Linked DNA regions of Drosophila melanogaster. The protein of the gene in region 1 purifies or fractionates together with the protein of each later gene. This does not show direct contact. Each region holds a gene or a part of one and is shown in the gene's direction. Other genes may lie near its edges.

Region 1 (3,600 bases):
ATGCTCGTGAGCGGTTTTCCCACTACGCTATCGTAATCGTAACCCTTTCCTGGCTCCTCACACTGCTCCACTCTTTAAGGCAAATTCTAGTTTCTTAATGTGGCGCAGCAAATGTGCCGCTTTGAGCATTAAAATCAACAGAGGCAGCCACAACTCGCACTCTAAAAAGCCTCCCACAGAATGTGCTCTTCCTCTCTCTTCGCTCTCCCTCTCTCTGAATTCAAGCATTACTCAAAAGGTGTTTTCGTCGCTCAGGTAAATTGAGTGAAAATCCATAGTGTAAATATACATGAGCTTCTACATGGCCATGTCAAATAATACGCACGTGTATTTTGAGTGGAAATAGAATAGATCGCTTCAGCTGAATGGGTTTTAATAATTGTGGGTGCAATCTGATTTCAATTGAAATTGCCCAATAAAGTGCTCCATTACATATGCATTATAGAAAAATACAGGCGTTACTCGCTTTAGTTAGTAAAATGTGTCGCAAATACCACATCTTTTTTGCTTTAGCTCCATTTATGGCTATTTCACTTGCCGGCGGGGAACCAAGAAAGGTAAGGCATCATCATGCTTTAAAGCATATATTTTTTTATTATAGTATTTAACATAATTTGGTCTTTATGATAGCTTATCTTATTTCCCCTTTCCACAGCTCATAGTATTTGATACCATAGAGTGTGCAATCAAGAGCAGTGTCATCTCAAAGGTTGTGTGTCAGCTGTATTCCCGGACGGAATTTACTGTCTTTTTGACCTTTGGCGAAAAGAAGCATGCTGACAAGGTGTTTGGAGCTTGCGAAGTCAAACTCTGTCCAAAGAGTCAGAAAAAGATAACGAGGATAAATAACCTAAGATTGGACTTTTGTCAACTGAAGAAGCATACCGAATCGCGCTCAGTGCTGGGAATGTTCTACTTAGCACTTCGCAGAGCTGTAGTCAACTTTCCCAACAAGTGTCCCTTCAAAAAGGTGTTTGTATTCTTTACAACTTTGGGACGTTTTTTAATTGATTTGATTTCTAGAACACCACATATGGGGTAAATCGATTCCATTTTGGCTGGCAAGATATTCCGCAATATCTACCCGATACTAACTACACTCTTGTGGGAAAGATTTATGCCAACAATGAGTTGGGACTCGAGATCAAGGTGACTGGCGGCTATTTTGAAGTTGCCAACGATTCTGCCTATAGGAAGCCCCTACTGTGAATGCGCATAAAACTTATGGTCATTAAAAAAGTAACTGTCTAAATAATATTAATATGGGAGTTAGCTTTGTACTTAAAACCTATAACTTAATCTATACAGTTAATTATTAATTTATTAAGTGTTGAAAAAAAAAAAACACCATTTTCGGGCATTCCTTGTAAATTTGTTTGTCAAGACCCACCCAAGGATTAGCTTAAGAATTAAAGTCGGATAAAATAATTCACCTGGTTTCGGGCTTAAAACTATTTCATTATTTCTTGGCAGAGAGAGAGAGAGAGTCCATGTAGATAGAGCGCAGCTTAAATTCAAAGAGCGCAGTGGCTTCCACTCAACTCAAACTCAAAACCGGCAAGATTCGAAAAGGATCCGTGCAAAAGCCACAAAAGAAAGAGAGAGAGAGAGCGACTTGTGAGAGCACGATCGAGTCGGCCGCGTGTCTTTAACTAAGACCGGCGAGAGCCGCTCGTCGGCCAGTCTGTCAGCGAATCTCGAAGCGAGCGGTACGCAGGCGCGCAGTCGCACATCCGTCAGCATAGCAAACGCCAGAAACCAACACCTTTAGTTCCGATTCAGATACAGTGCGACAATCTAAACACGCGTTCGCACCACCAACCATATCGCGGTGCAAAACGAGAAAAAGACGCGAGGCAAGGAGTGCAAACATATGTATGGACAGCGAAATAAATAAAGCGGAGGCATAAAAATTCCTCACATCGTTCGGTGCGCAGCGACGAAGATCGAATGCGGACAAAAAGGCTAAAATACAGCGAGGCCAAATAAAAGCGATTCGCAGCCAAGTCGAAGGTGCTCCGCCGAGTGGAGTGGCCAAGGTGCGAGACAAGAAATTAAATTGATAAAGCCTAAAAAGCGGAGCCTAGGACTTTGTCCTCTCCCTCGGCCAACAAACGTACAAACAAACAAACCAGCGCACACACACAAACTTGTCGCGTTGTTTGCTCGGCGCGGGCAATTATCGGGCGAATATCGGGAATCTGGGAATTCGAGTGCGAAGCAACCCCACCAAAGTGTTAAAGTGTGTGCCAGAGTGTGTGTGTGCGAGTGTGTGTTAGCGGTTAGCTGGTGTGGCAAATAGCTCAGAGCCACGAAATTGCTTTTATCGGCGCACCGAATCGCTCCGCCAACTGCTCAAGTCCAGAAATTAAAAACAAAAAGAGAAACTGTTCGGTTCGTTTGGCCGAAGGGCCAGCTAGCCATCTCGCAAAATATTAGCCCGCCGGGCTCACAACGCCAGCAAACAAACAAACAAACGGCCAGCACAAAAATGTATAATAAAAAATTACAGCAAGTGATCGTGCAGAAAATAGATCGATAAACCCAAACCCCAAACCCCCAAACTCAAAACGAACTCGAACCCGAAAAAAAATCTGACAAAAACAACACAAAAAAAAAAAAACGCGAAAAAGCGACGCGGTCCAGCGGAGAGTATAAAAATAAATAAACGAGCGACGATCAGCGAGCGATCAAGGAGCTAAAGCAGGAGGAGCACGTTTCTGGGTTTTTGTTTCAATTTCAATTGTGGAAATCGTAGAGGAAAAATTCGAACCGGTCTCCGCCGAGAGTCGCTAACCGAGGAGCGGAGGACGAAGCCAGCAACCGAGAACGAACCACCGATATTTATTAAACAAAGACAGAAATTAATTTCACGATTTTGTGAGGCACCACAGCAATACTGCAATCCAGTACCACCACCCCTTTCGCTTCCATCGCCGCCCTCCATGAGCGGCTTGAACTTTGAGCCTGAGGTCTGGGCTTCCACAGGGAACTAGGGATCGGGATCTTCGGCCCGCCGGCAAAATGTACGACATCAAGCGCCTGGAAGCGGGACAACAGAAACTACAGCAAGCACAGCAACCACTGGGCCTTGACCTGAGCGGCCAGCAACAGCAACTCACCTGCAGCGTGATCACAGCGCCCGAGCATCGGGCTAATCCCAATCCCAGCTCCATTTCGCAATCCAACCCCAGCGAGGCCACCCACATGACTTTGTTGACGCTGCGCCGGCGCCGTTCGCTGCAGCGACGCGCCTGCCTTCTGAGCATCCTCGCCGCCTTCGTCTTTGGCATGGCACTGGGCGTTGTTGTGCCCATGTTCGGCCTGCCCCGCCACCAGGACTCCCCGCCAGATCTGCCGGAGGAGCAGATACAGATGGTTGCCGTGGAGCCGCTGAGCAGCTACCGCGTGGAGTTCATCAAGGAGACGGACGAGCTGAGTGCCGAGCAGGTATTCCGCAATGCCTTCCATCTGGAGCAGGACAAGGATGCTCCGGACTCGATGGTGGTGAAGAAATTGGACACCAACGACGGCAGCATCAAGGAATTCCATGTGCAGCGCACCGCCAGCGGTCGTTATCGCAAGGGTCCGGAGAGGAGG
Region 2 (3,831 bases), 5.7 Mb from region 1:
TGGCCTGGGCGGGCACATCCTCGGGTTAGATAACACCGTCCAGTCCATCCTGTTCCGCCACCACCACCACCTCTGCGTATGTACATATGTACATGCGTGCGTATGTGCGTGTTTGGATGTACGTATCTGCATGCACCTCTTTGTGTTCCACGTACATAGCCCCGTATCTGCACTAATCTATCTGCCCCCTGTTGTGTGTACGCGGCTGCGACGGCCCAATCGATGGGAACAGATTTGTGCACTTATCAGCGCGCGTGTAATGGCCTCCACCTGGGCCAGCTGCCTCGTCTGGGTTCGGGATGAGCCCGATCTCGCTGAGAGCGCCACACACATGCTCGCCTATCAATTCGTCGCTGCGGGTGGGGGCTGGAATCACGGTGGCAGGGTCAGGAAACCGCCAAAACCGTTCCCACTCGACGTCTGGCACATCGCAGCGCATCTTGTGTGTCCCAAGTCGTGCCTTATGTAACCAAGCCGGTGACATAACACCGCTGAGGCATACTAAATGGCACTAAATGGTCGTTATCTTAAGCTCGCCGCTCACAGCTCGCGGCGAGTGCGGAGCGATTAGCGCCACAGATCGGAAACAGCCTTTATCTCTGCCCGAAAGTGGAGCATACATCGCAGGTGCAGTGGCCCATTTCGGCCAGACACCCACCAAGTTCGATGGTCATGTGATAGCGGACTACTAATCTCATGCAAATAGTGCGACTCACTAGATACCTTCGATCACGGGTTATCACACCAGTTGAGGTGCGGCAGTAATGATGGGGGCGGACTAACCGTCTTAGTTATTTGGTGGGCTTTGCAATTCGGAACAGAAATGTTATCCTTATCTTGGGAGCTTATGTGAATTCGGAACCAGCCGCACTGGACTAGCGATCGTCGGGAATGCTTTTGATCGCTAATTCCTAGCCGTGCCCTCGGCAGGGTCTCCATGTTAGCAACGACGATACTAATGTCATTCCCATTTCAGAGTGCCTTACATCCACAAATATGCCAGATAGATTTCAAGTTACAAAGGCTGACGAGGACACCGCGTTGGACTACAACCAGGATGAGTCTGCGAGCGGCAAGCTACTGGGGGACATCCACGACGAAACCCTAGGTGAGAACTATGGGTCGTACGATGGTAAGGATGTTTTCATTTTTATTTGTGCCACTATTATTACTTTAGTTTTACTATTAACTATAAGAGCTCGTTTCTTAATATATACTTATACATACTTAGATAAGATGTATACATACACAAGAACCATTAACACTGAAGAGATTGTGTGCAATTTCATCTGGTCCTTGCTGAGTTTCGTCCCATCAGCACATTTCGCCTGCTCACCCCCAGGCACACGCATTTCCCCTCCCATCGAGTGACTACTGTATGCCCAGATAGAGCTTACGGCCCTGCAATCCTATCCTGTGCTGCCCCAGTTGCCCCAGTCCGAATCCAGGATGTCCTGGTGACACATTTCGCGGCTGCTGTAAGCCAAAGCTCGTAGTACCTGACGAAAGCTCCCAGATAGAGAGAGAGAAAGAGAGAGAGAGAGAGAGTGAGAGATTGAGGGCGGCGCAGCTTTCTCGCAATCCCTTCCAGCGAACGTCGGATGCTGGGTGAGAGTGGCTGGCTGGCTGGCGGGCAGGTCCTGGCCAAGGCAGTGGGCTCAGTGGCCCCACTGAGCTGTGGGCCACCGAATGGAAATGTACACCTGCAACGAGGCGCTCTCCATTCTCCCAGCACAGCTCAGCTTAGCTCAGCTCAGCATCGCTCTCGATTTCGCTCTCCTGCGAGAGTGTGTGTGTATTAAAAATGTGTGTAGACAAAAGCTTTCGATTTCATCTCAATTGAACGCTCAGGGTCCTGGGCAACATAATTTTTATTCGGCCGAATACCAACAGTTTTCTTAGTTTTTCTATTAATCCGAACGAAAAGTAGCATACATCTGAGCGTTTTCGCTCGCCTAAAATAACTTTAGAAGGAGTCTTCTTTCGCATAATACAAAAAACCTAAAAAAAAATACGAAAAACGGGAAAACATGAGAAACCAGTTCTTTTTGAGCACCTTTAACAAATAACATACTTTAAACAATCGACGAAATTCTAACAATAATCAAATACATGAATACAAGTGCGTTCAACCAGAAAGTGTGTCCAAATTCCCTCCCGGAGACCCCAGATCCGGGCACTCGGTGTCGAGGAGGATTACCCCGCATTCCCATAGAAAGGCCTCATTTCGTAACCATTTTCAGCTGCATTCCGCACTTTCGGTGCATTTAGCCAGCTCGAGAGCCGCTTTACGGCGAAAAGGACGACTTTACGGCATTTATTTACCGCCCCACGACGACGGCCTGAAAATCCTTGACCTAAATTAATCGGTTACATATTTTTTTTTTTTCTGTCCGAGCTGGCTCAACTTTCGCAGCAGCATCCCCGCCCGCCCTGCCTGCCGGACGCAATTTTTGATCCACCTCCCATCATACCTCCACCTCCGAGTTCTTGGGGCATTTCCCGATTAGGAGCTCCCTTCCGAAACCAAACCCAAATCTCGAGTATATAGGCACACGTCCGCAGACATGTGAATATATACACCGCAGCGGCCACGCCTTTTGGGTTATATAATCCCAATGCGTGGAGCTCCGTCTGAAGAAGGACCATGCCCACTTAGTTCTTAGTTCTTGACCACGTTCTCCTCTAGTGTTACCTAATTTTAAGTGAACATAGTGCAATCTAAAGCAAGGGTTTGAAACCAAACAACCAACGTTAACATGCAAAGTAACAGTGCAAAAGATGATTCGGATGAAATGGAAATAATACCATCCGAACACAATGGTACAGTTCACGAAACCAAAAATGAAGGTATGCAGGGGATAATATCAATTATATAGTATATATGTACATATATAGTGTTCACTACTAGTGCTTAGTAGCTTAATTACATAACGTAAGATATCCGAACTCTATTCAATCCTGTGCATCCACAGACTCAGGTGATATCCACAGGGCGGAGGAGAACCAGAAGTCCAGCATCGACCCAAATCTATATCTGTACGACGATGATTTGGAGACCAGGCCCCATATATCAACGTTCATTTCATCAATTGCCAATTATGAGAACACGATACCAGCGGCCACCGATCCCGATGCAAAGCCGGCAGCTCCATCGGCTCGAATGGGTATGTTCGCCGCGCATTAATTAACTTGCTTGTTCCATCTACCCCCATATTGAAAGGCATGTGCACAATGGAATCGCAGCAAACAACAAAGCTGTGGAGGAATGATTGCTGTAATCCCCTCAAAGTGTTTCAGCCTTCACTGTGCGGGCGAATATTATAGAGCTGTTCGAAAGTATGCAACAGTGTGCAGTAGTGTGGCACAATCGAAGGGAATCGCTCCCGCGATTGAGTGCATACTTTCGGGCACCTGCCTAAATGGTTTCATTAAACTGATGACCCCAAGCATCAATCTCTAACGCTCGTTTCAATGTCTCATAAGGTACCCTAATTGGAGTGTTCTTGCCATGCATTCAAAACATCTTTGGTGTCATATTGTTCATTCGGTTAACATGGGTTGTTGGAACGGCTGGCGCCGTGTGTGGATTCCTGATTGTTCTGACCTGCTGCTGTGTGGTAAGAGCGTCCTGCTGCTGAGCCCTCCCCCATTTGGCCTCACTCCAAACTCCTCTTTGCAGACCATGCTAACCGCGATCTCGATGTCGGCCATTGCAACGAACGGGGTGGTTCCGGCGGGCGGGAGTTACTTCATGATATCACGGTAATTACAATGGCATTGGTAGGAGGTAGTAGTAACTCTAATGGTGCCACGATTAACATCAACAGA

What was found. The genes of interacting proteins can lie anywhere in the genome.
Region 2: the proteins of fj (region 1) and kcc purify together in Drosophila melanogaster (affinity purification with mass spectrometry, with the first as the bait; one large-scale study listed by BioGRID). This does not show direct contact.

The regions. Positions count from the first base shown.
Region 1 is NT_033778.4:18,231,086-18,234,685, forward strand, and holds the start of fj (four-jointed), read left to right. Parts: upstream 1-1,675; 5' UTR 1,676-3,024; coding exon 3,025-3,600. Other genes in the region: CG46388 (uncharacterized protein), read left to right, coding at 480-557, 656-970, 1,024-1,209. UniProt on the Drosophila melanogaster protein: Golgi serine/threonine protein kinase required for intermediate growth in the proximal-distal axis. Phosphorylates specific residues within extracellular cadherin domains of Fat (ft) and Dachsous (ds) as they transit through the Golgi.
Region 2 is NT_033778.4:23,908,702-23,912,532, forward strand, and holds the start of kcc (kazachoc), read left to right. Parts: upstream 1-1,908; 5' UTR 1,909-2,122; intron 2,123-2,689; 5' UTR 2,690-2,759; coding exon 2,760-2,850; intron 2,851-2,975; coding exon 2,976-3,167; intron 3,168-3,486; coding exon 3,487-3,620; intron 3,621-3,682; coding exon 3,683-3,765; intron 3,766-3,830; coding exon 3,831-3,831.